Rhinolophus ferrumequinum: one gene and its partners. The protein of the gene in region 4 interacts with the protein of the main gene of each other region in a biochemical or structural test. Links are inferred from orthologs where the notes say so. Each region holds a gene or a part of one and is shown on either strand. Other genes may lie near its edges. The genes, in order: RBL1, SETD7, PURA and E2F1.

The links.
Region 1: the proteins of E2F1 (region 4) and RBL1 form a complex in vitro, tested with the Homo sapiens proteins (2 studies listed by BioGRID). The link is inferred for Rhinolophus ferrumequinum from reciprocal best matches to the Homo sapiens genes E2F1 and RBL1.
Region 2: of the proteins of E2F1 (region 4) and SETD7, one has a biochemical effect on the other in vitro, tested with the Homo sapiens proteins (3 studies listed by BioGRID). The link is inferred for Rhinolophus ferrumequinum from reciprocal best matches to the Homo sapiens genes E2F1 and SETD7.
Region 3: the proteins of E2F1 (region 4) and PURA form a complex in vitro, tested with the Homo sapiens proteins (2 studies listed by BioGRID). The link is inferred for Rhinolophus ferrumequinum from reciprocal best matches to the Homo sapiens genes E2F1 and PURA.

What each region holds. Positions count from the first base shown.
Region 1 is NC_046306.1:18,788,347-18,795,728, forward strand, and holds the start of RBL1 (retinoblastoma-like protein 1), read left to right. Parts: upstream 1-4,233; 5' UTR 4,234-4,360; coding exon 4,361-4,516; intron 4,517-7,382. UniProt on the Homo sapiens protein: Key regulator of entry into cell division. Directly involved in heterochromatin formation by maintaining overall chromatin structure and, in particular, that of constitutive heterochromatin by stabilizing histone methylation.
Region 2 is NC_046301.1:15,387,335-15,394,420, reverse strand, and holds the start of SETD7 (histone-lysine N-methyltransferase SETD7), read left to right. Parts: upstream 1-4,084; 5' UTR 4,085-4,225; coding exon 4,226-4,259; intron 4,260-4,277; exon of another isoform or gene 4,278-4,296; intron 4,297-4,315; exon of another isoform or gene 4,316-4,867; intron 4,868-4,996; coding exon 4,997-5,128; intron 5,129-7,086. UniProt on the Homo sapiens protein: Histone methyltransferase that specifically monomethylates 'Lys-4' of histone H3. H3 'Lys-4' methylation represents a specific tag for epigenetic transcriptional activation.
Region 3 is NC_046307.1:14,771,974-14,779,059, reverse strand, and holds the start of PURA (transcriptional activator protein Pur-alpha), read right to left. Parts: upstream 3,128-7,086; 5' UTR 2,739-3,127; intron 1-2,738. UniProt on the Homo sapiens protein: This is a probable transcription activator that specifically binds the purine-rich single strand of the PUR element located upstream of the MYC gene. May play a role in the initiation of DNA replication and in recombination.
Region 4 is NC_046306.1:21,284,081-21,291,377, reverse strand, and holds the start of E2F1 (transcription factor E2F1), read right to left. Parts: upstream 3,007-7,297; 5' UTR 2,861-3,006; coding exon 2,600-2,860; intron 1-2,599. UniProt on the Homo sapiens protein: Transcription activator that binds DNA cooperatively with DP proteins through the E2 recognition site, 5'-TTTC[CG]CGC-3' found in the promoter region of a number of genes whose products are involved in cell cycle regulation or in DNA replication.

The DNA of each region.
Region 1 (7,382 bases), about 2.5 Mb from region 4:
CTCAAAAAGTCTTAATCAGGTTCTGGATACAGGCCCTGGGGAACTCTGAAATAGTAAACCACAATAGGGAGGTTAATCATAGAAGGGATCACACAATGAGATCAAAATAGAAACAACCTTCGTGATGTATCTAGATCAGACATGAAGGCAGAGTAAAATCTATTTCACTACCCATACTTCATTTTCTAGTCAAAAAAGCTCAGCTTAGTGCTAAATGGGCATGCCACTGGATGTTAAGAAGAAAAAAAAAACCAACGTGAACCCTGATAAAAAAGGTAGGGCCAAAGGAAAACAAGAAAGCATGCAAGTGAGGCTGGCTCTGACAGATGTGTCCTCAATGCTAAGCTGCCTAAATTTGATTGCACTGGTAATAATGAACCCCTGAAGAGTCTTGAGAAAGTGACATGCTAGAAATGCTGCTTGAGAAAAACTAGAGTAGTAACTAAATATAAAATGGGTTGGAAGAGAAAACATAAAATGTTGAGACAGCTAGAAACCTGGTGGAGGAGGAATCCACAAGATTTAGTGTAGAGGATGAAGGAACGGGGTGTCAGTGATAACACAGAGGACAGCATGGGCTGGGTTTTTTTTTTTTTTTTTGGTGAGTGTAGCAGTACTGTTTATTGAAAACTAATGACATTGTTCAGGTAGCATCCAAAGGGGGGCGGGGGCAGGAAGCCAGTACTGTTTAATTCTGCTTTAAAGGAAATAAGGGAACTCAGGAGTATTTTCCTTTTATTTTGGCTTCACTTCCAAGGCCTATACTTTCTAATAATTCAATTCAGGACAGTCTGAGAATGACGACATGGCAAAAGGAAAAAACCACAGAAGCAAGTGATTGGATGTAAAGGGTAACAGGTCAGGTGAATCAAGAGATGGGAGATGAAAATGCAAGACTTTACATAGACAGGATATGACTTATTCAAAGTCCAAGTTGAGAGTCCAGATTCAGCCCGGAAGAGAAGAAAAAAGAATAATGTTTAATGTTTCTCAGTTTTTGTTTGTTTGGTGGATGACCTTTGAGAGGTGTTTGTTTCTTTTGTTCTTGGATCATTTTCAAGCCAGCCATGCCCCTCAGTTTGTATCTGGATGATCTGAAAGTAACAGCAAAGGAAGAATCAGTATCTTGCACACAGGAGGCACTCAATAAACATTTGTGGAATGAAGAAATGTTTTTTAGGAGTTAGTATGCGTGAACTGGGAAAAGAATCAGGAGGATGAAATCTAATAGCAGAGAAGAAATGGGCTATAATACATATACAGCAACTCACTGAAATCCAAACCATCTCTTTAGAGAGATGAAAAATGGGGCGATGAGTCCCTGGTTTTGTTGGTTTATAATCCCTGACAGCTATTTCCTTTTGTATTGGTTTCTTTTCAAGGCCAGAATCACCCTCTGCAGTTCAAATCTGGAAAAAAAAAAAAAAGAGAGAGAGAGAGATTGATTAGTTATGGCAAAGGCAAAAAAACCTGAGGCTTCTTAACTCTTGTGATCTTGTCCACGACCCGCTGTGAAAGCCAGGATTGCATACGGAAGACTCATTTTTTTGTGTTTCCCCATCCTAGAAAATACCCTTCCCTTTGCCTCTCCTCCACCAAACTTCTTAAAGAGAAGTTTTTACTTCCTGCTTCAACTTTCTGACCTTCCTCCCCTTAGCCTCTTGGCGATAGTAATACGGCTTCCAGCCCCAGTGGGCTAAAGAAAACTGCTCTGGCAAAGGTCACTAAAAATATATGAATGATAATATATGAGGTCTTTGAATTCCTCATCCTATGTGAATTCTCTGCAATGTTGGACTTATTTCCTGACCTCTGAAATACTGCTCTTGTTTTTATACCTCTCTGGCCAGGTTTTTTTAAATTTTCTCCCCAAATTCTGCCCATCTCTGAATTCCACCCTTAAGTCTTTTCTCATGCCATCACACTCCCTCATACGAACCTGCTCCCTTCGCTTCATGTACTGCCTGAATATTCCCAAAATCTCCCTGTCTAGTCTGTGTCCCCACTCCTGGAATGCTTTCTTAAATAAGTACAGTAGGTTTATTAGGAAACAAATGAACCACTGCAGGAGGACTTGCATCCATCTCACCTGCACTAATCCTGACATCTCTTTGCTGATCGGAAAGGAAGTTAGGAGGATTGATAACCCGTTACAGACCCCTGGGCACTGGAGATAGACCTCCCTACAACTGCCCATAACCAATCCTCTAAGCAAAAACTCATAGGAGAGTCTGTTACAGACACTATGTGACAAGAGAATATGAGATGGTCCTACAGTCAACTGCAGTAGCTTCTAGAAGGGAGCAGAGTTGGACGTGCCACATGGGTGGTTGGGTTTGAGTTTGAGTTTTTGGGGGGAGTTTGAGTTTTTACTCATTGGAGACCCAGCTTGCAGCTGGTTCCCTAGTCCCAAAGGGCCACCTTCCAGAGTCCAACAGTCTCTCCTTAAACTTCCCGCACGCAGCATAAACACAGCAGTTCTAGAATTGGTCTGATCCCTCTGCTTACACTCTCATTATAGTTCACAGCATCACCTTTCACCCTCTTGGCCCAGATGGAAACGTGTTACAGGGGCTCCTTCCTCTTCAGCAGTGCCCCCCTTCAGTTCTAGGCCAGAGACCTGTCTCCAGGTTGGCTCCTGCGTATACTGGACCAGTCCTCTGCCATCTCCATACCTCTAGTCTCTACCCCACCCAATCCATGTGTCACACCGCAGCCAGAGGAACCTGTCCAAAACACCGACCATTCATCATCACCTTTCATTAAAACCTTCACTGATAATGTCCAGGCTTTTAGTGGAGCATATGAGGGGCTTTGCAACCTACCTTGCCCTGTCCCATTTCCATCTCTGGTGACCTCTTCCCTCATCCAAGCAACAATGGGCTCTTTGTAATTTCTCAAATACAACATGCTAAGTATTGAGTACCAACTACCAGCCAGGCGCTAGTCTAAACTTCGGAATATAGTGAATATGAAAGGAAGGCCCCTGCTCTCATGCAACTCACATTTGAGTAGGAAGAGCCAGTGAATACACAAGATAATTTCAGATAGTGATAAGGTACAATGAAGACAAATGGGGTTGGAGATAGGGTCAGCTATTTTAGGTACGGTGCTCAGAGATGGCCTGAGAAGGCCACAATTAATAGTTGAACTTGAATGAGGAGAAGCCAGACAAGCAAAGATCTGGTGTAGAGTATCTGGGGCTGTTTGATCAGTGTGTGACAAAGGCCTTAACGTAAGAACTTAGCTTGGTAGCTTGGCATTTTCAAGGTTCCAAAACAAAGCAGTGAGGTTGGACCTTATTACATACCTGGGAAGGGAGCGGAGAACATGAATGAGGCCAAATCACATGGGGCCTTGTGGCCATACAAAGGAGCCTGGATATTTTAAAGGCAAGACAAACCTATTGAAGAATTTTGAGTGAAGGACTAACGTGCTCTGATTTACCTTTAAAAAGATCACTCGGGCTCTTCATGAAGAGGGGGTTTTGGTGGAGCAGAGGGTAAGCTTCAAGACCAGTTCCACGCCTTCAGGCTTATGCTCAGGCCATTCCTAATACTGGAAAGACTGTCTTTACCAGGACGGTTCCCAGGGCCCAGGGAGCTGAGAAAGGTCCCCCTTACTGCATTTCTCTTAGTCCAGATCAAGCCTCATTTAGCGATCAAGACATGGCGAGGTGTCTCCGACCATCCTTGCCTCATCAACCCTTCAGTCATTCAACAGACCACTCGCTGGGCGCTGGAGTCACTGAGGAGACTCCAACGAGCCCCCCATTCCCACCCCCTACTCCCCCGCTGTCAAGGGACCACTTTTTTCGGTTCCCTACTCCATCTCTAACACAAGGGGTAAGTCTCAGACTGTTTGGCGCCGCAGAGCAGTAACAAACCAGGCCCATGCGTTGGCGGGACAGAGGAGCCTTCTTCCTAAGATGAACAAGGCCACCTAGTAATAGCCCCAGCCCTATCCCACACCCAAGAGCCGCGGAGACAAGAGTGGCGCCGCGGGCTTCGAGGTAGCATATGGACTACAACTCCCAACAGACTCTGCGCGCGGACTGCTGATCCCTCCGCTCCCAATTTGTCCTGCCAGCTGTGCCCACAGCTGCCTGCCGAGGGCCAAGACCAGGTTTTTTTCAGCACCCGAGGTCCGTCTTCTAATCACATTTCCTGAGAGGGACCGCTGGGAGCCCTGGAGGAGAGACGGACTTTTTCGGCTAGAACGCGGATGCAGACTATCGTAGAGACGTCGCTCTAAAACGGCCGATTTTCGCGCGCTTTGGCGCGGGTAGTTGTGGGTAGGGCGCCCAAGAGGGAGAAAGGAGCCGGGGGCTGTGATCGCGCCGCCCGCCGGGCCTGAGGGGATGTTCCAGAACAATCCCCACGCGGAGGGGGCGACGGTGGTCGCCGCGGCCGGGGAGGCGCTGCAGGCCCTGTGCCAGGAGCTGAACCTGGACGAGGGAAGCGCGGCCGAAGCCCTGGACGACTTCACCGCCATCCGGGGCAACTACAGCCTAGAGGTGAGCGGCGGCAGGTGGGACGGCGGGGCTCGACCCTCGCCAGGCCCCACCTCCGCCCCGCCCCTACCCTACCCTACCCTATGGGGCGGTGGGAGTTTCCCCACCGAGAAGGGTCGCCGCCCAGCCGGGCGCTGCAGAGTGCGAAGCTGGAAGGGCGAGTGCAGATCATGCTATCCTTTTTTTTTTTTTTTTGTGAGGCGGGAAACTGAAGTCCGGAAAAGGAGGGGTTTGCCCAAGGTCACACGCCACTCAGGGGGTCCCATAGACTCCACACCAGACTTCCCCCCGTCCTGCCAAGCGCCACAAACGTCACGTTACTGCGTTTAAATCTATTACAAAACCAAATACTATAATGAGAAAAGCTAAAATGAATTGTGTGCCAAGACATCACTGCCCAGCGCTTTAAGTATGTCATCTCACTTAGTTCTGGCTACAACCTCTTGAACCCGTTCTGTGATCCCCATTCTCTCAATGAGAAGCTGAGCTCCAAAGAGGTTAAGTTACTTGCCCAAGGTCACGTGGTTAGTGGTGGAGCCAGACTAAGGAGTCCGAGCCATTTAACCTCTCCACCCTTACGCCTCCCTAGGGCGGAAGTGTGGGTTACTCACTTTGAAACCAATGTGCATTCATACAGTGCTACCTCTCAGCTCCAGGTTCCTCCTCTCTCAGATGGGGATACTTAGATTATCCTGATGCTTTCGCACAATATCAGGCCATGACATAAAATAAATGTAGACAATCATTATTAGATTTTTCCTAGTCATTCTTGGGTTTAGTCCTCACGATAGCCCTGTGAACATGGCAAAGGAGTGTTACACCTGTTTTCCAGGTAATAATATTAAGGCAAGCATAAGCCCAGTGTACAGATAGAATTGTGATTGAGTGTATTTCAGCAATGAATCCAGTGGCCTTATATTCAAAGGCTTTCATGATCCTAGGGGGCCGGACTCAAAAGGTAGAGTGCTCCACTGACTCACCACCCAGTGAAATAATTAATTGATGGATTTAAAGGCAGAGTTGGAAATTTGGAGTTGAGTGTACGTGTCTATATATAAGGGAAAAGTACCCAAGACTCTTGGATGTCTCCATAGTAGCTCTAGATATACTGGGTAAAAGACAGTGATCTGCATCCATGGGGAACGTGACTGGAAAGCTGGGGAAAGAATAAGAAAGTAAGGAAGGTTATGAATTATTGTCTCAATGAAAACAACTGATTTTTAAAAGCCCGAGAAAGCATCTCTGACATCCCAGGTCCTCACTTAGTCTCTTAGTGAATAAGCTTTTACTGAGTGCCAACTGTAGTCAGGCCATTAAACTAGGCACCTCTTTCAGATTCTTGAATATGCCAAGCTCGTTCCCACTTGTGTGCTTTCTCCGTGCCATTCCCTGTACTGGGAAACTTCCCTCACTCACAACTCCAGGGAAGATTGAACAGCTAGATCTCCAGTTAGGCAGAGTTGATCAGGACCTCTTAAATTTTCGATTTAGAAAGCCCATATGTGTGAATTAAGATTTCATGAGTGTTGATTCTATCCACAGTGTTTTATTTTCTCTTTTTTCATTTTTGTTTGTTTTATGGTGAAGACTCTTGCAGTAGGCATCTTCATATATCTGCTGCTTCGTAAGAACCCTTCCCTGCAGCCCCTACGCCTCTCTAGTCCACCTGACCATCTCCTGCATACATTTTCCCTTGCTCTTCCCCTGCTCTCCTTACATTTTGGTGATTTACCACTTACCAATTTTAAGTCTCCCTCTGTGAATCCTCCCCTGACCTCTAGTCAAAATTATACTCACTACACTGTATTTTCCCACAACACGTTATTTTCATTTCTTACAGCATCTATCTGACCAATAATAGATAATAATATCTGTTCTTCTTGGCTCTAGACTTGGAGTTCCCTGAGGTCAGAAACTGTTTGTATTTCTAAGATCTAGCATCAAGGAATTAGAATAAATAATATAGGGAAAAAGTAATTCCAGTACTTAAATATTCTTTATCTTAATGTTGTTTTCATCTAGTAGCGTGTATCCAAAGGCTCTATAATTCTTGGATACTGGTTCCAAATAATTCATTACTCAAGGATTCTAAAAATATACAGCCTTAAGACTACCTGCCTCATTTAATGCCTTGAGCAAATAAGACTTCTCACTACTTTAATGTAGGAACACTGGGTTTTAGTTTAACTTTATTGGCGGCCACCCATTTCTGTCCACCCCTTTCGGATTATTGCAAGAAATCTATCAATCTTTTTATCCTTCTAGAGTCTAGTCTTAAAGAGGATCTGTGGAACAGTAATAGGAGCAGTTATTTGTTACTCTGAGATTTGTGTCTAACTCTTAAATTTCACGTATAGTTCAGCAGTGAAGTCATGAAGTGATTCTAGCTTGGAGATATCTCCAGTCTATGTCAGAGGATTAAGTGTTCAATTCCCAAATGTCACCTTTTTTTGTAGCATTGTAAATTGAGATATCTGCTAAGATAGACATCTATACTTACTATAACATTTTAAAGATTGGGGTAAATAATTTCCCCAATTTTTACCTCATAAAAATGAGTGTCTTTTATGTTGTGCAAGATAGGATTAATATTTTATGTGTGATTCCCTTGTCATCATTCCATTCTGTTCTTACCTTTCTCTGCCAAACTGGTTAAAAAAGAAACATAAAACTAAAATGGTAGAAAGGGGGGCAGCCAGATGGCTCAGTTGGTTAGAGCATGAGTTCTGAACAACAGGGTTGTGGGTTCGATTCCCCCATGGGCCAGTGAGCTGCAGCCTCCACAACTAGATTGAAGACAACGAGCTGCAGCTGAGCTTCCAGAGGGGCGGCCGAATGGCTCAGTTGGTTAGAACGGGAGCTCCCAACA
Region 2 (7,086 bases), on a different chromosome or scaffold from region 4:
ACCCACCCTCTGCCATGTTAGAATTTGCATCTGACTGATTGCAGGACCCAACAATCTTAGTGATAGCTCAGTAAAATAATTTTTTAAAAATCAAAAAAATAAATTAATACTAACGTTAAAAATAAACACATTTGGTTTTGATGGTAGCTGTATTTTTCAAATTTTCTGCATCCTGTGGATTTGTCTGAGTTTCCAAAGCAGTGGCCTCTTTAAAAATCGTTTCCAATTTTTTCAGTTTTGTTTTTCAAATTGCATCACTCAGCAGCTTCACCAGACCCCAGCCTGATAAGGCTTTTCATATCCCATCATGCAAAGACCAAAAGAACCAGGCCTTCTGTGAACGGAGAACATTCGCCCGGAGTGGACCCATACAGGGAGATTTGGGCTGCGTCTTCCATTCCTCCATGCCCTGAAGTGTCTAAATTTAGTTTACTGGTTAGACTATAATGACATTAACATGTTGCTAGAACAAGAATCAAGCAAGAGAGAAAAAAGAAGCTTAATGTGGCATGAGGTATTTTAATGCCATGGCAACTCTGATGTCGTCTCTATTATTTAATTCACTTCCTCAGGTCAGGTTATTCTGCCCTGTCTCTTTCCTGCACTTCCTGTTGCTGTAATCAAATCAGGTCACTCTGAATTCCTGAGTGCTCTTCACGACTGCAGTCATGTCTATTTCCAGCAGAATGTATTTTCTCCACCTCTTCCTTTGCTCCCGGACCTTTGTTTGGTGCCCTTGTTCCCCGTTGCTCCCCTGGGCTCCACAAGCTGTAAACGCCTCTTACATCCACATCTCCTCCCCCGTGCCCTTCTCCTTGCTGCTCCTTTCCCTGCCCCTCCTTCCTGCTTCTGCACTAGTCACCAACATAGTTAGCCGCTTGATTTGTGACTCAGTGCTTCAGAACCCAAGGACCGTCGCTCTCCTGAAAGGCCCATGCCTCTCTTCCTAGAGTAAGATGAAGTCCCTCCTGGTGCCCAGGTCTCAGTGCCATCGCATTGAGATGACTGGGGGACTTGAGTATGGTAGTTTCCCCTTTCCTTTTCCTGTGCATGTCCCCGGGACTCTCCAGGCTCTATTTAGCTTTTCTCCAGGAAAGGTGGACAGAGAAGGTTTGAGCCCAACCTCCTTCCTCACTTCCAGATGAAAAAACTAAGGTCCAGAGAGCTTCACTGACCAGTTGCATGGCTAGTTCTTGGAGGAATCAAAACAAACAGGGTGAAAACTCAATCAAATTGGCGAATTTGGTGGGGGAAAAAATTTTGTTAAGGCGTGAGCTCTTATGATTATCTAAGAGTTCTTTCACTCATTCCGTCCTTGTCTTCCGGCCAGCAGTGTAAACAAGCAAAGCAGAACGGAGACACCAGCCAGAGATCCACAGGACACCTGGAGAGCTCCTTGCCTTCCAGGATCGGGGAGGCTGGGAAGACTGCCTGGGCCCCCGCAGCCTCTACCATCAGGGCAGGGTGCGGGGTCAGGCACAGCCCGCACTAGGGAATGCTGCAGAGTTCCACATCCATTAGATTTTTCCCAATTTGCAAGTGCGCATAGTGGTGAATTGACAGAATGGTTTCCCCTAAATGTAGGAAAGTGTATGAAATACAAGATACCTATAAAAATACATTTACTGTAAAAGTTATATCATCTTATAAGTAAGCCCCCGCCTTCTCTGGGGAAAGACATGGATGATAAAAATGAATAAAAGAACTCAGTATTTTGATTGCTTGCTGCAGTGGAAGAGGGATTTACGTTTCCCAAGCTGAGGGTGGAAAGGAGGGATATGTCCTTGGGTGCAAAGGAAGCAAGCCAGACAGCTTAGAAAAAGCCACTCCAAGGTGTGAGCGTGGAAGCAGGTCCCACGTGGGGTGCTGTGTGGTCCCTGCGCTCCCAGCGAGGGCTGGTTCTGGCACATTGATCTGCTGAGTTAGGCCCTGAGCCACGCAGCTGCTGCAGCTACCCACTGTGATTAAGAGCTTTATTGATTTTCTAGCCCAGGACCACATCGGTAGGGACAGAGTACGACAGAGGAGAATGGCGGGAAGCCAAGAGGAAAGAGGGCTTATGAAATGAGCTCTCAATGAAGAAAACTGTGGGGAAGAATGTGGTGGAAGCAGATTTGGGGCCAGTAGATGTGGGAAAGTAGAACACCTCAAAAACTCTTCCGACTTGAGCTGAAACAAAGCACATTGCCAACACAGGCAGAGGATCCCGTATGTGAGAGAGAGACTCAGCACTGGTTATCTACAACAGAATATTCCTCTCTGCAAAATCACCGCTGACATTGCCTAACCCTCATTCTGTACCAGGCACTGTGTTGGGCTGTAGGGATGTAAATAACAACCAGTCCGTCTAGAGAAGGAGATTGAACACATACCTAAAACGATTTGCAAAAATGCAAATGTATCTTCAGGGAGTCATAAAAACATTTTGCCTAAATTTGGGGCCCAGAGCCAGCAGGAATGAATGGGGGTTAAAGGAGGCAGGACTGTGTGTTGGCTGCTGCCTGCCTCACGTGCAATCTGATGGAGGTTCTCCCGGAGCTTTCAGCCCCGTCACTGCCTGTCCTGGCAGGAAGACCCTGGCGGCTTCCCTTGCCCACCCATTACTGGTCCGGAGGAGGCGCGCTTCGGGGATGCAGGCTGGGCTCCCAGTGCTCTTAGGGCAGCAGGTGGAAAGGAAGCAGTTGACAGTTTGGGTGTGCGGTACAGGCTGGGAAACCCTCATGGGCCCAACCGGATGGCTAGACAACCCTTTGGAACCGAGACATAGGGGCCGGGCATTTAGGACGTGATTCTTGCCTCCAGCCCCACATACTCACCCACCATGAACTTGTGTATCTGTGGCTCACCTGTGTGTTTTCAGGAGAGATTTCTTCCAACCTACATTTCCCTTCCCTTAGCCTTCTTTTAGTAAAGGAATAAATTATTTTTGCTTCCTGTTTGCTTTCAAAAAATTCTTTTTTGCCCCTGAAAATAAACTGGAAACTGGGGAAGATGTGTGTCTGCTGTGTTTTTGTATGTCAGTGTAATATATAAGGGAGGAGATGATATGTTCAAAAAAGGAAAATAAAAAAATAGCATATAACTCAAAACCAGTGAGTGACCAAGCTCAGTACATGATGGCTTTTTTTTTCCCCAGTCAAAAATAAAACCCCATTTCTGTGGTTCCTGTGTGAAAATGATGTGACCTGTGCGGCTCTTGCATCCATCTTCCACTGCGAGAAACACCTCCTCTGTGCCGCTTTGGCACCCAGGTATCTGCACTGGAGGGCTTCAAGGAGGCTCAACTTAAGCCAGAAGAGTTCAGAGAGGTGTAGACCAAACTGGAGGCCCTCTGAGTGGTCCAGCCCAAGCCAGAGGGATCTTATCCCAGTGTAGCCTCAGCCTTTTATCTCCTGGGGGAGGAATAGGCTGGCAGAGCAGGTGAGCAGCACCAGTCTCCCAACTCATAATCCACCACCCTTCCCTGTCTTTCTAAAACAGTCAAAAGGGATTGAAATTCCTGGCAGTGTATGGGACAAATGTCCCTACCACTGTTCTTTTCTTCACAGAGGAAAATTGAATGTAAGAAGAAATTCATAATACCTGGCATTTAAATACAGAGCCAAAAGCAAGGTGCGGTCTCCCTGGTGCTAGAAGTTCTTTGCAATCTTCAAAGCCTCATTCGTTGTTCGGAAAACAAAATCAAACAACTTTCTTTGCTCCCTCCTGCCCCTCCCTCGCGCAGTAGCTGTTCTTGGCAGATGTCCAGAGCGGCACCCGGTAATTCCACGGTACACTGTGTACATTTGCATCCATTTAACCAGCTATTTACAGCCACCCTTTATGCCACCTGTAAGAGGCAGCGCCACAATGACACTAAGTGGCAGGGCCGGGAATCGGGTGCCCCGTGATATTGTCCGCTTGAAAAGCCTGAATTTATGGAGTGGTTGGCACTTGGAGAAACAGGGTAACAGCTGGGGACATCACAGGAACGGTGCGGGAGGTGCCAGGAGGCGCACCAGACGGAGGGTCCTTCCTCATCAGCTCCACTCGGTGGCTCCTTTTCTATGACCACACAGCGAGGAGGAACCTGCGGGCCTTCCGTGCAGCCAGTTTCCTGCCTGATAAAGAGTCCGCAGCCGTTTGGACTTGAATTTCTGAATCACCGAGACGCCTGGCGGTCCGGAGGAGGGCGGGAACGCGATGCGCTGGGGTGGGAGCCGCAGTCCCGCGGAATCAGGACTGGATGTCACCCCCTGGAGTCTGGGAAACATGCTCGCGTATGTGATGCGGCGACATGGGGACACCTGCATTCCCGTGCGTGCCGCACTTGTGCAGCTCCGGGTGGCAAACGGGGTGAAGTGAGGACGTGGGCGAGAGGAAGTCGAGGCGCAGGAGCGTCAGAAACACTGTCAGCGTCCCTTGTTCTTTGGAGGCTGTCCCGACGTGGGGGTGGGGGCTGGTGGCTGGTGGGCACCGCGCGATGGACTTCCAAGTTGCCCGGGCACAGCTGGAGGTCAGGAGTGCAGGGCCCCCCGAGGGTCGGTACCCGGTGGTCCCAAGTGCCCACGAGAGGCCCGCGGCGCCCAGGACCGCATGGTGCGCTCGGAGCTCACAGAGCTGCCAAGAAGCCAAGCAGAAACCCTGATGGGCCCGGGGGCTGGTTGGCTGGGGCGCAGAGGCAACGCGGACTCCGAGCGCCTTTCGTTTTAAGGAGCCTTACTTCTGGGAAGGGACAGGGAACTGTCAATCAGCGAGGGAGGGAGCGCACCGGCTCCGGGTGATGTCAGCGGATCAGCTGCTCGCTAACAAAGAGGGGGTATTACAGGAGAAAGTTGCGGCGGCGGCGGCCTCGGCGGCACCCCGGAGCCTCGGAGGAGAGGGGCAAGTAGGCGAAGGGAAGGGGGTCGGCTGCGGCAGCGGCAGCTGAAGGCCAAGGAATTGAAAGGGCTGTAGGGGGAGGCAGTGCGAGCCAGCCCCGACTGCTCCTCCTCTTCCTCCTCCTCCAAACTCGCAGGGTTCAGCCCCAGCGCTCGCCCAGCCGCCCGAGCACCCGGAGGGACGGGAGGCAGCCGCGCGGCCCCGAGCTGGGCAGGGTCCCCAGGCGCCATGGATAGCGACGACGAGATGGTGGAGGAGGCGGTGGAAGGTACAAACATTTCTCTGGGTCCGGGGGAGGAGGCGCCGAGGGCTCGGAACGCGGAAGGAGTGCAGGGCTGTGAGCGGCGCTGCGCCGAGCCCCGCGGCCGCCACTGTACCCTGCACGGGTGGCCCGGCTCCGGCAGGGGCTGGACAGCCACCGCCACGCAGCCGGGAGCGCGCATGGAGCGGCGGGGCGCAGGCCGGGAAGCGGGCTCCGCGGCGACGGGGTCCCCAGTAGGGCACGGCGGCTCCATCCCGCCGGCCACAGCCTGCATCCCATCCTAGGAGTTTCGAAACCTGCCCTGCACTCTTCCCCCTTTCGGGGATGGAAGGTGGGGGTGCGCAGCAGGACAGTGCTTTGAGAACCGTGGTCTCCGCGGAGCAATGCCTCCGCCAGCTTTTGGCAACCCCGATCCCCTCTCCCGCCGCCAGCCCTTTCCTTCTTCTGGCCCCTGCGAATCACCGTGACCACGGCTGCGGCCGGGTGGGCCTCCCCCCCACCGCCCGCGCAGCGCATGGTACCGAACCTGGCACGTGGCAGCCGCGGCCCGAGCGGCCGCTCCTCCGAAAAGATGAAATCATTGCAGGGCAAGGGACGATACTCCCGACCCGGGGATTGAACGTGCGCAGACAGGGAGCGGGTGGCCCTCCCCTTTGCTGTCCCCAAGCGAACTCAGTCACACCGCCCCCTCCCCCTTCCTGCTTCCGAGCCGGGGGCCGCCGCCACGCTGTGCAGGCGCGCCGCAAGCCCGGACCGACATTGCTGGGTGACACTTAACTTTCTGAATTCCATGCAGTTGGCTGTGGGTGATATCACCGCCTGGGTGTCGTGTTTCTCCGCCCCTTCTCTTCTAGCGCCCCTCCCCCGACTTTTCTCGCACTTTGTTTTGCTGAGTTTCTCCACCTCTTTTTTTGCTAGTTCTAAAAAGCGAGGTGGGGACGTTATACAATCTCGTTGTTTGTATCATGAGATGTTATGATTTTGTAACAGTGAATACTGGAAGATACTCTTTAGCGTATTTATTTATTTGATTCTACCCAGACAGTACGTCGTGATGTTTTGCAATATTGTATGGTATTATTCCAGAATACTTTAAGCATCTAAGTAAACAATTTTTAGCTTTTGGTTGAATCTCGTTTCTACCTCATTTGTATAAACAATTTCTCATAAACGGTAAAGAGAAACAAAGTAGCAACACCGTACAAATACATAAAGATACGTAATTATGGCTACATTGGGAAAAGAAATCCATTTTTATGTTTTCATAAAACATAATTGACTCTTCTTCAGCAGCGCTCCAGAGGTCTTAGGATGAGATTAAGTAGAATAATATTTCTGAATTCTCTGAAAGGTATCCATTATAATGTAACTATTAAAACTTATTTCTTTGTCCATCTTCAAAGAGTGTTTGTTGTTGTTTTAATTTCACAATGTTGTGAATTCTCTAATAAGTAAAGCCAGTGCTGGGGCTTGCTGGGTCCCAAAGACATTGATGGAGTCCGTCCATTGAAAGCCTTCTTGCAATTTAAGTTATTGACTTCTTGTGCCTTCATGTTGTGCAAGATAAATGAAAAAATGCTCTTCTCAAGTTGTCAGGGCTTTCTCTCATTCTTCAAAGGGTACTTCTACTTGAGCTTGTGAAAATTTAATGCAAACCCTTGAGCATGGGGAGTGCTCCCCAGGTTAAACTACTTTCCCCTTTGAAGCTGCCTAGAAATAGAAAGCCCAGTTGTCCATGGTCCTCAAGCTCCTTGTAGAACGTGGACAAGCAACTTTAGAAATGTATCTCAGTGTTGTTTTTGAGCTTGTCTAATTTGTAGAAACAGACACCATTCTTTATATAAACAAGGAATGTTCTGTTATATAGGGTGACTATATACATGATTGTCCAAAATCAGAATATGCCTGAGAATGAGAGGGATCACTATTAATACCTATACTGGTAAAACAAAAACAAACTCACA
Region 3 (7,086 bases), on a different chromosome or scaffold from region 4:
TATATACCAGACCCTGCCCTACTTTTTAAATGTATCTAAAAAGCAAACAAGGCTAATAATACCTTTACCAAAATAATCCAATTATAAATTGAACATTTAGTACATTGTTAAACAAGAGAGTTAATTTCAGGATAAGCCTGTAAATCTGGGCTTTTGGTCAGACTGGGGGCAGGGGTGAAAGGCAGATTTCCCTAGACTATAGAATACAAGAGCCTTAAAAGGCAGTCTGAGAAGAATGAATATTGACTCAGAGAAAGTCTTAAAACAAAAAGTTTAGAACACTAAATAGAATTTCAAAGTTAGATTTGCATCCTAACATTGAAAATCCATTAGAAAATTTGTGGATTTAAAATAACTTCCAACCGTTTGTTAACTTCCTAAACAATATACTAACCTGGTAAATGAAATGCCAGTTCTAGTGTCTAGCTGTTTGAATATATTATTTTAAAACAAACAGTTGTAAAATTAAATGTAAAATTTCAATACAATGTAGAAAACACGAAGAGAAAACGAAAAATATTAATATGCAGCAAAATATTCGTATTAATGAAAAATAAAATATTCCCTTTCTCCTCAAAGTTTGCTTACATTTTTAAACATGATAAATGTCTCTAGATTTCTTGTGCTCTTTTATTAACACTACACACACAATTTGAAGAGAACAGAGATTGCTTTATTGTTAATCCCATTATCTCTATGTCTTTAACAAGCTCTTACCAACAAAAAATTGTTCGCAAGTGAAACAGACATTAGCCAGAACAAGAAGGAAAAACGCCTCAATTTTCCTCAGCCTGTACTACAGGTGATTCTGAAACAATCTAATTCAGCTTTGGTTTTTAAAAGTAAAAATTAGCACACACATTTATAAAATAATCTTGGAGAGAGGAAATCTACCTCTGGGTAATAATAAACCCTTTTGATTATAGTGTTCCCAACAGAAACAATATGCTGATAACATTTCACAAAATCGCAGATTTCCAAAATAAAAGAGAAGCAAGAACATTAGAACTTGTGTTTTCTAGTGCTGCTTAGGTTAAATGCTTGTCTTAAACCAGACAGACAATTATCTTCAATATCCAAATCATTAAAACTAACTGGAATGTAATACTGCAATTGTTCAAAGTGGAGGAATTACCCCTTTCTTCTCATGGCTATCTACCAGGAAAATTAAGGGAAAGTCTCAAGTAAATCTTAACATTTAACAACAACAAAGACTAATAGTAATAATATTTCACAAATCATTTTTTAAACAGCATATCCCCTTTCTATAGCTCACCTAATCTTTTAAATTATGCTTCCTCAATGCTATTTTAATGTTTAGGGTTAAAGATATGAATTAAACATTTAAAATCTGAAGAGAATAATTCATGTGATAGAATCCTCGCATTTCACAAAATGTTTTCATTTTAAGCATTTGTAGAAGAGTTAAATAAACGTAGTACACATTCTAAATTCAATAAAAGATTCAGAAAACCCGACATTTTATGTACCCCAAAGGTCCAAAGCGAACCGATGCAAATGTCAATAGTTTTTTCTCTTCCGGCTGATACTTAAATGGTTTTACTAGTACCCAAAGGAATGAAATCAGCAACTCTCTCCACACTCGAGTCAACACTCTAATTTTCAAAGCCGCAATTCGCAAACGTCAGTTTGGGTGGGGAACAGGGGGGTCTTGAAGTCATCAAAAAATTCCTTTTCTCCTCTGACAGTCTACCAAAAGATGTCAAACCAAATTCAGCCTATTGTAAAGCACTGGGACCTCCCTTCCAAGGACACAGGACACAAACATAGACGCCGCTGCAAAAAGCTGTCCAAAAGCGCCCGGCCCGACAGAAACGTTAAAGGGTCCAGATAAGAACGAAAATTAGAACCCTCAAGAGGGTCCCGCAGAGACAGCGGAAATGAACGTGGCATTTATTCAGGGGTAGACAGCAACGAACCAAAAAAAGTTGCCCCAGTCGGACTCTTGGGCCTTTTTTTAATCCAAGTTCAGGCTCAAAGCAGATGTATTTGTGGGGGGTCCCTTCCCCTACAGACATTTCAGCCACCTCTGGGGCCCACTATCGCTTAACGGGAAGCCCCATCTAGCTTCGCATCCATTCCTTTTGCCCCCGGACAAAGGCAGAGGAGGCTGTTGAGCTGACCTAGCTCTGTGGGGCGGCAAAAATGCCTTGTCCAGGCCACCCATCCTTGGGCCTGGCTTCATCTGCGATGTCAGCATCAATGTATTATTTTTTATTTTTACAAAGCATCCTGGGCGGGTATATGCATTGCGGGAGGGGCGGGGGGTTGAACACAGGAGAGAAGGGGTTGGTAGTGGAGTCTAGAATCCTCCTTCCTCTCCCCTCCTGCCAGGGTTGCTGTGCAGGGAGTGTCGGCCACGTTTGGCGCACTGTCCCAGGCCCCTGGCGAAGGTGGCCAGGGGAAATGAGGCTTAGGGATTGCTAAACAAACGGCACCACTGGTGGTCTCCAGCGCCTGCGGAGGTAGAATTATCTTTTTTTTTTTTAAGGGGCGTGTGATTTTGTTCTTATTTGGAGGTGGGAGGGAGTTCGTCTGTTCGTGCGCTACGGGGTGGGGGGGCGTTACTGCACTGCCAGGGTCCCCGGAGGGAGTGCGGGGATGTCTACAATGATACAGTAATTACTCCTGGGGCGTAAGAGGGCAATTAGAGGGGACGGGGTGGGCGGCACCTGAAGCTGTGGCAGTGGCAGCAGGGAAGGTCGCGAGGGGCTTACCCGGGCGGGCGGGCGCTGTCCTGCCGCAGGTGAGGGAGGGCGCGCGCTGGGCAGGCGCGAGGAAGGGGGGAGGGGAGGAGGGCGCGCGCGCGCACACCTGTCCTGGACAGCGGCGCGAGCCGAGCTGCGCCTCACTCGGGCTCTGCTGGCTGAAGAGGGAGGAGGGCGGGCTGGCAGGCGGGGGCGGGACGCCGAGGGGAGGAGGAGGAGGCGGCTCCGATGGCTGGCTCGGCTCTCGCTCGTTCTCCCTCCCGCGGGCAAGCCCCGCTCACCCCCTGCTTCTCCCGCTCACTCACAGCCCCTTTGGCTCTCCCTCCTCCTCCTCCTTCCCCTGCGGGATCCGCTCGCCGCCACCGTCGCCGCCGCAGACGGCAAGTCGTGGCAGCCAGACGTCGGCGCGTAACCCGGCGCTCCGTGCGTGACTCCGGGCGACGTCAGCGCGCGCTCAGCGCTACCCACCATTTTCCCCCCCACCCTCCCTCCGTGGCTCGCGCCCTCCGCCCTCGCGTCCCTCCGTTTCAGTTGCCGCGGCGGCGGCCGCCGAGCGCGCTCCCTCCGCCCCCATCTCGCGCGTGCGCGCGTCCTCTCCGCCGTTGGCGCGTCAACAGCCAGCGGCCCAGGCCTTGAGGCGCGTCTGAGGAGGGGGCTGCCTGCAGCTCTCTCAGCGCGCACTTCCTCCACCCGCAGCCGGTAGCGGCCCCTGGAGGACTTATCCCTCCTTGGGCCTTGAAGGCCAAAGTCAAGCTCAGGCGGGGATAGGACCCTGTAGGGCCTGCGTCAGCTCCAATTTAGGGCCCTTAGCGTCGTTGTCGTTGCCGTTACCGCCGCGTCACACTAACCCTACCCCCTCCCCCGTCCCCCGCTCCTCCCTCCCACCCGCGTTCCGCCAGCATATCAGGAGGCAATAGGCTTTTCATCTCCCGCGAAGGTCTCACCTTGGTCTTCAGACGTCTGTCGAGAGGGGCTAGAAGGGCATAATTAGCATAAAGAAGAAAGTGGCTAGACCTCGTTCAGGCTCTAGCCCCAGGAATCCTTGACAGGAAGCGTGGGGTTGCTGCCCAGCCTCCCACGCAGTGTAGGTGAAACTGGGCCCCTTTGAGGGACTGCGACTAAGGACAAAACCCTGATAAATATTATTGATGCGCCCTTGGGCTGACAGGGAGAAAGTAAAAGGGACGAGTTAATTTTCATAAATTATGCAAAGGTGAAATGCAGAACTATAAAATGCCGTTTAAGAGTTGTCTTGAAATCTTACCAAGTTTGACAAGATTTTGGTGCACGGTAACTTTTTTCCTCGCTTTATATGCTGTTACATCTCCATCCTGCAAGACTGTGAACATAGAAGGTGGATCAGTTAAAAATTATCGGCTGCAAAATAAATAGAAAACTGCCTTCACCATCTTTATCATTTAAAAAATGTCAGAGGAGTCAATCTGTGATTTAGGAAAACTTAATCACTGTCCCAACTTACTTAACTGAGTATATTTTATTTTGAAGTTTCTTTTCAATACACCGTTAAGATACACTTTTATTAGGCAATAGTAGACTTTTAAACTTATTTATAGGCTCTTTCCCAAGAAGCCTACCTAGTTAAGCCTGGGAGGCAAGTAGGAGAAAAGTGAAATTAACCCCATTTTATAGATGAGAAAATTGAGTTACAAAAATATAAGTCAGTTGTTCAGAGTTGCAAGGAGTCTGTAACTGATAGAGGGAAAAACACCTTAGGTTTATTATCACCTACTTCATCCACTAAACCAGAAATCCCCAATTGTTTATTTCCAGGTATCTTTTGAGGCTCCCCCAACCCCCTCAATGAATGGTAGGCAGTGCCTAATATCTGAGAGAAACAAATTCTCACCCTAGCTAGAGGTGAGAAAATTTTTGAGAAGGGCTTAAGAATGATGGGTCATTTCCTTTGAATTGCTTCTTCATTCACCTCATCTTTAGGTGGCAGCACTACTATATAATATCTTTAAAACTACAGTCTTCTGCAACTTGATATCCTAAAGAGTGTTTTGTCTTAAATGCTTCCAACTAAATTTTGGAGATTAGAAGCTGGTGAAAATACGAAATCATATCTGAGAATTAGAATACTTAGGAGGTTCTAGAGGAGGAATAGAAAGGCTTTCAGAGAAATTATTATTAATAAAATACATGGAGCTGCTGAGGGAAAAGATAAATCCCCCCCAAAAAAAGCCTTTTCTAGCTGTATGAAGAGCAAGTAGCATCTTTACTATAAATCTGATCTCTTATTGAAACAGCACAAGATAACCAAGCTGCAGTTTCTCAATACTGCGTATTTATCAAGCATTTACAAGTTTAAAGTTGCTAGTTGTGTAGTTACCAGTACTCTAACTACAATTTTAAAATTTGTGTGCAGTTTTCCTCATTAAACTGCATCAAGCTTATGAAGATCCCAAATAGGATCTTATTGTTGACCCTTGTGGAAAAGGACTCTTCTTGGCTCCTTTCCTCACTTCCTAAATTGTTTATATGCAAAGTAAACCATCACTCAAACTCAGAAAAGTGAGAAGACAAGCTAAACCAAATGTAAGATGATAGCAATTTATAGATATTCTATATCTCAATTTCACATTTCTTGAGGATAATAAATTGTGATACATGGGGGTTATTTGGTTCAAATGTTTTCTAAGTAGAACTTTGTCATAACTAATTTTGTATATTTACAGCAGTTATCAATGTGCCCCTTTATCCAAGCAACCAAACAGAATTGAATTTCAAAATAGACTTCATTATATTTACAGCATAAACATAACCATCAAGGAATATAGAAGTATGACCATCCGGAGTGGGAAATCAAATTATATCTGGATAGAGGGTGAAGTCTTTATAAAGTCTTGATGTCAGCTTCCGTCTTTCTTGAGTCAAATTTGGAAAAGGAGTCTCAAGTAAATTGGTAGAACTCAAACTCAGCAGTGTTATGTTAAGATTTTAAAGCTCTCTGGTGCCAGCAAATCATGCAGCCTGTGGGCCTTGGATCCAAACTTCTGCCAACTCCATTTTGGCAGTAAAGTATTCTGTTGAACAAAGTTTGCACGTGTTTGGGGTGTGAAGTGGTTCCTCAGGCATTTATGTGGTTTTATTCCAGTTTGGGGATTTGAGCACGAGGATCAGGAGCATGAGACTTGTATAGTTCGTATGTGCCCTGAAACAGACTATACTAGTGATCTTGAATTTTCACTTAAACGCGGACAGCATTTTCTTTATTGGTGTAGGAGTTACTGAAGTGATCCTTTAGTTTACTCGTTAAATGCTAACATGATGTTGCACCAATTCTCAAAAGCAAGTAAGTAGGACCCTCTCTCCTGAGGGTATAGAGCTGTGGAAAATCACTCCTCATCTTCCTACCCACAATACCACCTAAATGTGTTTATCCAGATGGAACTCACTAAATAATAATACCCAACTTGAGAGCAAAGGAGCCACTAATTATTAAAACTTGATCTTATTTTCAGATTTTATATAACTATGAGTCTTTTATCTTTTTTGGTATCAGTTGTCTGACTTCTTTTTTAACCACCTCCTCCCATCCTGAAGTAATTTGGCTAAGAAACAACACTGGCCAGATGTATGGACTGATTTGTCTTATTTCAGGGGTCCCTCTTCCTGAGGGAAACATATACAGTCTCAATTTCCATTTATTTTGGGGAGAGATCACAGAATAAGAATTTATTATCAGAGCACCGGTGGTCTGAGAAGGCAGTGAGTTAACACCTCCAAAAACTGCCTTAATATCCTTTTTTTTTCCTTCAAGTAATTCTAATAGAAAATCCTTGCATAATCTGGGGTAACACAGTTTGAAAACCATTAAAGTGCTTTTGTAGCAATGTTTTGGAGTTTTGGCTTTTATTTTCCTGGTTTATGAGTAATGGCATGAAAACAAGTGCAAAAGTAACAGACGTTGATACGATACCACTGTCTTAACTTCAACAATGATCAGTGGAATGTCAATTTATAGCACGGCATGGTGATTTGAAAATGGTAGTTATTCTTGATATTTTTGCCAAGAGTGTGGCCTAAATTCTTATTTGTGCCTTTCCATTTTCTTTCCTTCTCTTTAAAAGTAATTCCCAAGTCACAGCTAATATATGGATGAGGTTAGAGATGGAAAGGAAAGCTCGGCCTTCCCAAAGAGTAGATCTATCTGGACTGGAAAATATTATTGAATGTTGTTGCATATTGGTATGGTGACTCCCAAATTCCTTTGATTGCTTTCTTTAGAATATCAGTTGTATTGTCACTTCACTACCTGGAGGCAGAATACATACATACGTAAGTCTTAAACTGGTGCAAAAGTAATTGTGATTTTTGCAATTGTTTTTAGCCT
Region 4 (7,297 bases):
GGTTCATCCAGACCCTGGAAGACCATGCAACTATCAAGGACTGAAGCAAATCGACACAGAATCCTCTCAAAGACATTGACAAAAACCACGTTGTTTTAGGGCAATGCATATATAAACCTTTTGGGTTAAAAAAAAGCACAAAAACCTTTTTTCCTATGATTCAGTTTCTATTATTATAGAATGTATTTCAGAGGTAATCTATGTGTGCAAGGGAGAACCGTGCGGATGGTACTGTTTGAACGTGGAAATAAATGAAAAAGTACAATTTTTGAAATTTTAGAAAACCAGCCATAACCACCTAAAAATAAAAATAGGTTTTAGGAAAACAGAAATAATGGGTGGGACTGGGAGCCTGCCCCCTTCACCTTTCTAGTCTATTTACTTTTTATAGTTATTATGTATTACACTTTTTTTGTTGTTGTTTTAGTAGCCGTAACAATAGAGTAGAGGTAGACAGGAAGGGCCAGGAGAAATGGCTGAATTGCAGAGCCTGTATGCAGGAGGTACTCAATGAATGCTCACTGGTACAGAAGCTGAGCCTATAGCTTTTTTCAGGGACTGCCCCAAACACCTGTGGACAGGTGAAGGCCATAGCTCATGTGGCCAGTGGTTACCCACAGGTACAAGAATTGGGGTTGCTGGAGGGGAAAATCTGGGCCCATTTTTCTGGACTTCAGCTCCAGGATGGTACCAGCTCCCACACCTGCCTGCTCACCTGTAGAAAATGCCCACTAGTGCTTAAGTACTGTGAAGGCAGAGGCCCCTTACTTGCCTTTGTGCCTACTACCTCGTGGGTACTCACTAAGTCAACTGTTAAATGAGTGGAGTGCTCAGGTCCTTTGAGGCTGCCCCGGACACCCCTCGGGGTGGAGTGGAGGGCATCCTTCCTCGACCCAGTCCTTGGCAGTCCCTCTGAACCTGGAGTTCAGCTCCCTGAGGGCAGGACCCAGCCTTGGGCCTGCTGAGTACATGTCAAGTCAGCTAAATGGAGGATATTTGTTCAGACCCCAAGATGGTAGCCGCAGGGTCAGGCCACTGGGGTATACGAGACAAGCCAAGGGACCAGACCCTGGTACAATTCCCACCCCCTCCGTCACTGATTAGGAGGAAGGGCCCCTGGACTTCCTTCAACCTCTCTTAGCATCTCCAGGAAGTAAGGCATCCCAACAGTTAGGTGCTCAGAAAATGTCTATTGGTCCCACCACTCACTAGCTAATGACTAGGGAAGGTTCCAACATCTCTAGGCCTCAGCTTCCCCATCTATAAAAGGGGAAGGCTGTTGAGAGGGTTAAATGAGTTAATTGGGTAAATGCTTGGCACAGAGCCTGACAAAGAAAACATCTCAAAACAATGGTGCTACTATTGTTGTTATTATTATTAGCATCTTGGTGATTCTGGAAGGGAGGAAGCACTGGGCACCGGGCCAAGGGAGTTAAGGGATGCTTCAGGGACCAGCTGCCACCTAGGCCCCCACCAGCAGTTGGGCCGCTTCCACCTCCTTGCCCTAGGCTCTGCCTCACCTCTCCTACTTGTTCCAAGCCTCCTGCTGAGACCCCAGCCTGCCTGTCCGTGCCCCACGTTCACCCACAGAAAAGGCCTGTCAAACTGGTCTCCCCACCCTGCCCTGCAGCCCACAGGTCCAAACTCCATCCTTTCTCCCCATGTAATTCAGCCACCTCTTCTGGCACCCCCAAATCTGAACTGATCTTGAGCCTCTTTTGCTCAAGGAGCACTTTCTCAAGACATCTCCCCAGGATGTTTACTCTCCCCTGGAACTGGAGACCTCTTCTCCAGCTTCCAGAGGCCAAGCCCACCAGTACCTCCACCGGAGCCCAGGGGTCTGCCAGCCTGATTAATGAGGTTCCATGACAACCAGGGCCTGGGAGGGTGGAGGGTGGCAGATGGAAGGACAGGCAGAGGGAGGGGACCAGCAGCTGGCCCAGCCACCCTGCCATTGCAGAGAAGACCTCCCAGCCAGGAGGCCTGTCCCCAGAGGCCCAGAGGCCCAGGGCTGCACCTGGCAGTGGAGCATCCAGATATGAAAAAGGGCCTCCTCAACGGCTCTTCAGCAGTCTGGCCCCAGGATGCCTCACTTCATCTCCCCAAGCTGCCATACCCATTACCTAGCCACAAGATCTGATGTAAAGCCAGCAGGCCTCAGTTAAAACCCCAGTCCCACCACCTGCAGAGGTGTGACCAAGAGGAAGTCACCTCCCCTCTCTGGGCCTCGGTTCAGATAGGCAGTGACACCAAGCTCACAGCAAGGTTGTGAGTTTTAGCTGCCTTGAAGTCGGCCAGAGGCCTGGCATGCAAGCAGCGCCAGTTGAATACACGTGGGCCATTATGATTACTGCGTCTGACCGGCTCCCGTGAGGAAGCTAAAGCCCACAGCAGAGGAGCAAACAGGGACTGGCCCGAGGTCACTCCGCACCCCGGGGAGGGGCCTGGAGACCCAACCCAGTCTGGGCACCGCCCAGCCCCGGCGCCTCAGCCCACCCCTCCCCCGCCCCAGCTGCCTCCCATCCCAAAACCGCGCCCCGCCCGGGTCTGCATGGGGGTCCAAGCAGCACATTCGGCCCAGTGTCCCTGGTGTCCGTACCGGCGGACGGCCGAGCGCGGGGCGCGGCGCGCTGGGTGTGGGCCGGGGCGCCTGCGGCGTGGCGAAGAGCAGCAGGTCGGGGTCGCAGGGACCCGCAGCGGGCGCTGCAGGGCCAGCGGGGGCCGGTGGGGCGCTGGCGTCCTGCGCCGTGGAGATGATGACGATCTGCGAGGAGTCGAGCAGCCGCAGCGCGCCGGCCCCGAGCAGGGCCTCCAGCGCCGGCGCGCATGGGCCGCCCGCGGGGGCCCCGGCCACGGCCATGGCGCTCACGGCCCGGGCGGCCCGGGTGGCAGGCGGCGGCGGCGGCGCGGGCCCATGGCGGCAGGCCGCGGCTAGGGCTTGATCCCGCTCCGGATCCCGCTCCGCCCCCGGCCGCCGCTGCCTGCAAAGTCCCGGCCACTTTTGCGCGCCAAATCCTTTTTGCCGCGAAAGAGCCACGAGCCGCCGAGCGCTGTCACTATTGGCTGTCCGGTCTGTGACGGAGGCGACGGCGACAGTGGCTATTGGGTACAGCGTGCCGGACCGGCAGTGAAGGGCGGGATGGGGCGTCGGTGCGAGTAAGCGCGGCCAATTGCGGGTCGGGGCGCGCGCAGGCTTTGTCGGGGCGGTGCCAAGAGCGTTCACACTCCCCGCCCCCAGGCGGGACTGCCCCTTTGCGAGGCGTGGTGGCCCCCGCTCCCACCTCGACACACCCCACCCGCTGATCTCTCTAGGAGATCTTTAGTACCGAATGTCCATTGTACGCATCTCACCGTCAGCGTACCTTACATGACCCCCAGACACCCTCCACACACCTGTAGCCCCAACGCCCTCAGCCCAGATCTCTAGAAACTGACCCTCTTTTCTAGGGTCTCAGGCCCATTTCCAAAGCCCTAGCCACATCTCCCATCGTCAGCTTGCCCCACTTTTATCATTTACTTTCAAATCCTATGCCCGCCCTATCACCCAGAACCCAAGCAGAAGGGGCCTCTCAGGAAATGGGGAGGGAAGTCTGGCCCATTACAGCTTGAGGTTTTCCTCCGAGCCCTCTTTCATCTTAGTAGCCAAATGCACAGCTTCTGCTTGAACTCATTCATTCATTCATTATTCATTCATTATTATACATTCATTCACCCAAGCGTGCATTCACTCATTCAACAAACGTTTTGAGAGCCTGCTCTGTGCCTCATTCTTAGTTCATACCCTGAAGGGCTCATAGTCTAGTGAACAAGGGAGAGGGAACAGAGAGGTAACACATGTTTGCAATATGATGAAGGATTTCCACCATTAAAATAACTCCATGTTAATCTCACAAAGGGAAGAGGTGAGGATGCTGAGCATGAAAATGTATTTCATAGTCCCTGGGATCTCTCCATCAGCCAATATCATTGCTCCGGTCAGCTGATTTGACCAATATTGTCCTCTGTGCCAGGCCTTGTGCCAGCACTGAAGGCAGAGATGTGTAAGACTTGATAATTTTAATGAACTTGCCTGCCACCTGGTGGGGATGTGCCACACACATAAAAAGTAGCTAAGACACAAACAAGAATCAAAGCGGTAGGCCCAGTATAAACATCACTTCCTCCAGAAAGCCCTCCAGAATTACTTCCTCTATTGCTGGATGCTGCCTCTGTTCCAGCACTGACCACACTCAGTTTCTCCATCTGCCTCCCCTACTAGACTGGGAACTCCAACAGGGCCTGAGCACAGCTGAAGCAGGTGCTGAGAGGAGTTATGAGAAAGGAAACAGGCTGATGATGCCAGAGGCTATTTAGAATGCAACAGGAGGCCCTGGTTCTCCAAGAGCCGTCTTAGGGTCCTGGTTTCAGACTCACCTGGGTGCTTGTTCACTTTGGGCCTAACCCCACCCCCTGCCCATTTAGTATCTCTACGTGCACATTTTCACAAGCAATCCTCCATCCCCATTCCAGGGGGTTTTTATGCACATTCACATTTGAGAACAAATTGGTATACCTGTATAACCAAAATGTGTGGTGATGCCTCAAATTACAGCCTCTTGACGACACTTCTCAGCTTCAGTTCCTCATCTGAGATAGGGATGAAAAGCATAAGGGATCTGAAAATGTTTTATGAACTATAAGGTGGTTCAGGAACACAGGAGTTTCCTAAACAGTTTGTGAAATTACTCACTGCAAATCCTAGACTGTCAGCACTAGGAGGGACCAGAGACTAGTAGCCTCTTGCTGTACAGATGGGAAAGTTGAGGCCCATGAGGGACCTGTAAGCCAGCCAGTGATAGAATTTGGCCTACACTGGATTACCAGCCCTGGGGTCAGCCTGTCCCCCTTCTCCTCCCCAGACAGAAAAGCTACCATTAGAATGGTAGGTCTCATTTGAAAAAATCAAGCCAGACCCTGACAGAGGGTGAGAGAAATCAGCAACATTCCTGTTCCAGATGGACTTTCTTTTCTTTACATCTTCCCAAAGAGTCTCCATAACAATAATATTCACTTCATAAAGCACTCTCATACCCAACAGCCATTCAACGAACATTTATTGAGCACCTGTCACGTGCCAAGCACTATACTGGTTGCTGGAGAAGGAAGACATTGTTATTTTTATCAATTTAATGATGGGGAAACTGAGGCCCAAAGGGCATGAGCTTACCTAGCAGATGAAAAGGCTATTGTTTGGGCTTGGAGAGGCCAAAGCCAGAGGTTTTCCAAAGTCCTGTCCTCCCCAAAATATTCAAGTACACAACCTCCCAGGTAGAAGCAGGTGCCGTCCTTCCCACAATCCTTCCTGTCCTGCTCAGCGGAAAGGAGTGAAGACCAGAATTCCGAGTGTGCAATCAAGGAAGAGATAAGGGCCTTCTGTATTTATTAATACCCACTTGAAAGCAGCAAAGGCCTGACTGATGGGGCCCCTTGGCCCCAAGCCTGGCCAATCTCGATAACGTTGTTCTCTGTGTCAAAAGTTCTCCTCAGGCTGGTAGGTTTTCAAAAAATCCACACTTACTGGGCAGCCACTTTGATTGATGAGCTCCTTTTAACCTGAGAATCCCATAAGTGAAGCTTGTTTATCAACGTTGTGCAGGAAGGAGGCTCAGAGAGGGGCACTTGAAGTTCAAGGTCACACAGCAGAAGTGAGATGGGAACTTAGCCTGTTCCGCTGCAAAACCCAGGGCCTGCTCTTTATACCCCACCACCTTCTGTAAATACCCCAAGAGCCAAGCTCAGGAGGCTCAGGGCTGTCAAGATTATAATGTGTGCTTTCCAAAAGGTATTATAATGTATATTGGCTTAATTAGTAGATGTTTACCCCCATTACTACCTACACCAACTCCTTACTTTAGAGGAGTCCAAAGCGGTGGAAGCTCCTGAGCCCATGATCCTTTGCCTGGAGATATCTTTCCCTTAATTCTTTCCAAGAGGCAGGATGGTGTAAACGTGATAGTATGTGCTTGTAAATCAGGGGGATATAAATAGGAACCTTGGTCTGTGTGACCTTGGACAAGTCAATTCACTTCCTCTGAGCCTCATTCATTCCACAGATATTTGTTGAATACCTCCTATGTGTGAGGCATTATACTAGGTGCTAGGGAGACAGCTGGAAGCAAAACAGACTTATCTCTGATACCTGGAGCTCATAGTCCAGTGGAAGAGTCAGAATTATTTCTATGGACCTGCGCAATATGTTCGTTAAGTCTGACAAATGACACAATAATTCAAAGCTCTTTATTCCACATACATTCTTAGCTTCAGGGGAAAAACAATCTCCGAACATGAACATCCCATCATTATGAATGCATAATTGGGAGAAATTCTGCGGTGACTTAATTTTATTAAGGGGCACAGAGACATCCATTGTTGAGTTCAGGAAGTTTTATGTCTGCAACATCACATTTGTCTCAAATGATCCTTCGTTGCTACACTAAATTCTCTGCTTGACTGACGGTTTACTGTCCCTGGAGATATTGTCACCATGCCAGTTCTGGCTGTATCTGAACACAGACCACTTACCCATCTGATAGGCCGTCTATCATAGGAGTAAGCCTTGGGAGTCAGGCAGACCCCAACTGTGTAGCTTGGCTAGATGACTTTGAGTAAGTGATTTACCCTCTTGAAGAGCTTTGCTTGCCCCATCCGTAGAACAAGGGGCAAAGGCTCCTTTACAGGATGGGTCTCAGGGTTGAATGAGAAAAGAGGACAAACAGAGTTCGCAAACTGGCCAACATGTATGATTTAATTTGCCCACGGAGTATTTTTTTCTGAATTATGAATTAGTTAAGAAAATTTTTAATTTAGAAATGCTATACAAAAATTCAAATATCTGGCTTTCTTTTAAAACCGTAACATCTGGCAATATCATATTTCCCCAAAAATAAGACCTAGCTGAACAATCTGCTCTAATGCGTCTTTTGGAGCAAAAATTAATGTAAGACTCGGTTTTATATTATAATATAATACAAGTGCTTGGCCGTCAGTCGGTCAGTATGTTTAGCGGGATGTGGGCCAGAGAGTCTTATTTTACTATAAGACCGTGTATATTATATTATACCCGGTCTTCTAGTAAAATAAGATCGGGTCTTATGTTAATTTTTGCTCCAAAAGACACATTAGAATTGATTATCTAATTTTGGGGGAAACGGTACTAGCCAGACCATCATGGTGCTGAGCAGTTGCTGTGCCCCATTTCGCCAGAGCCTTGACCCTCCAGGCCACCATAGTCCTGCCTGGCTTGCCTCACCCGGTGACC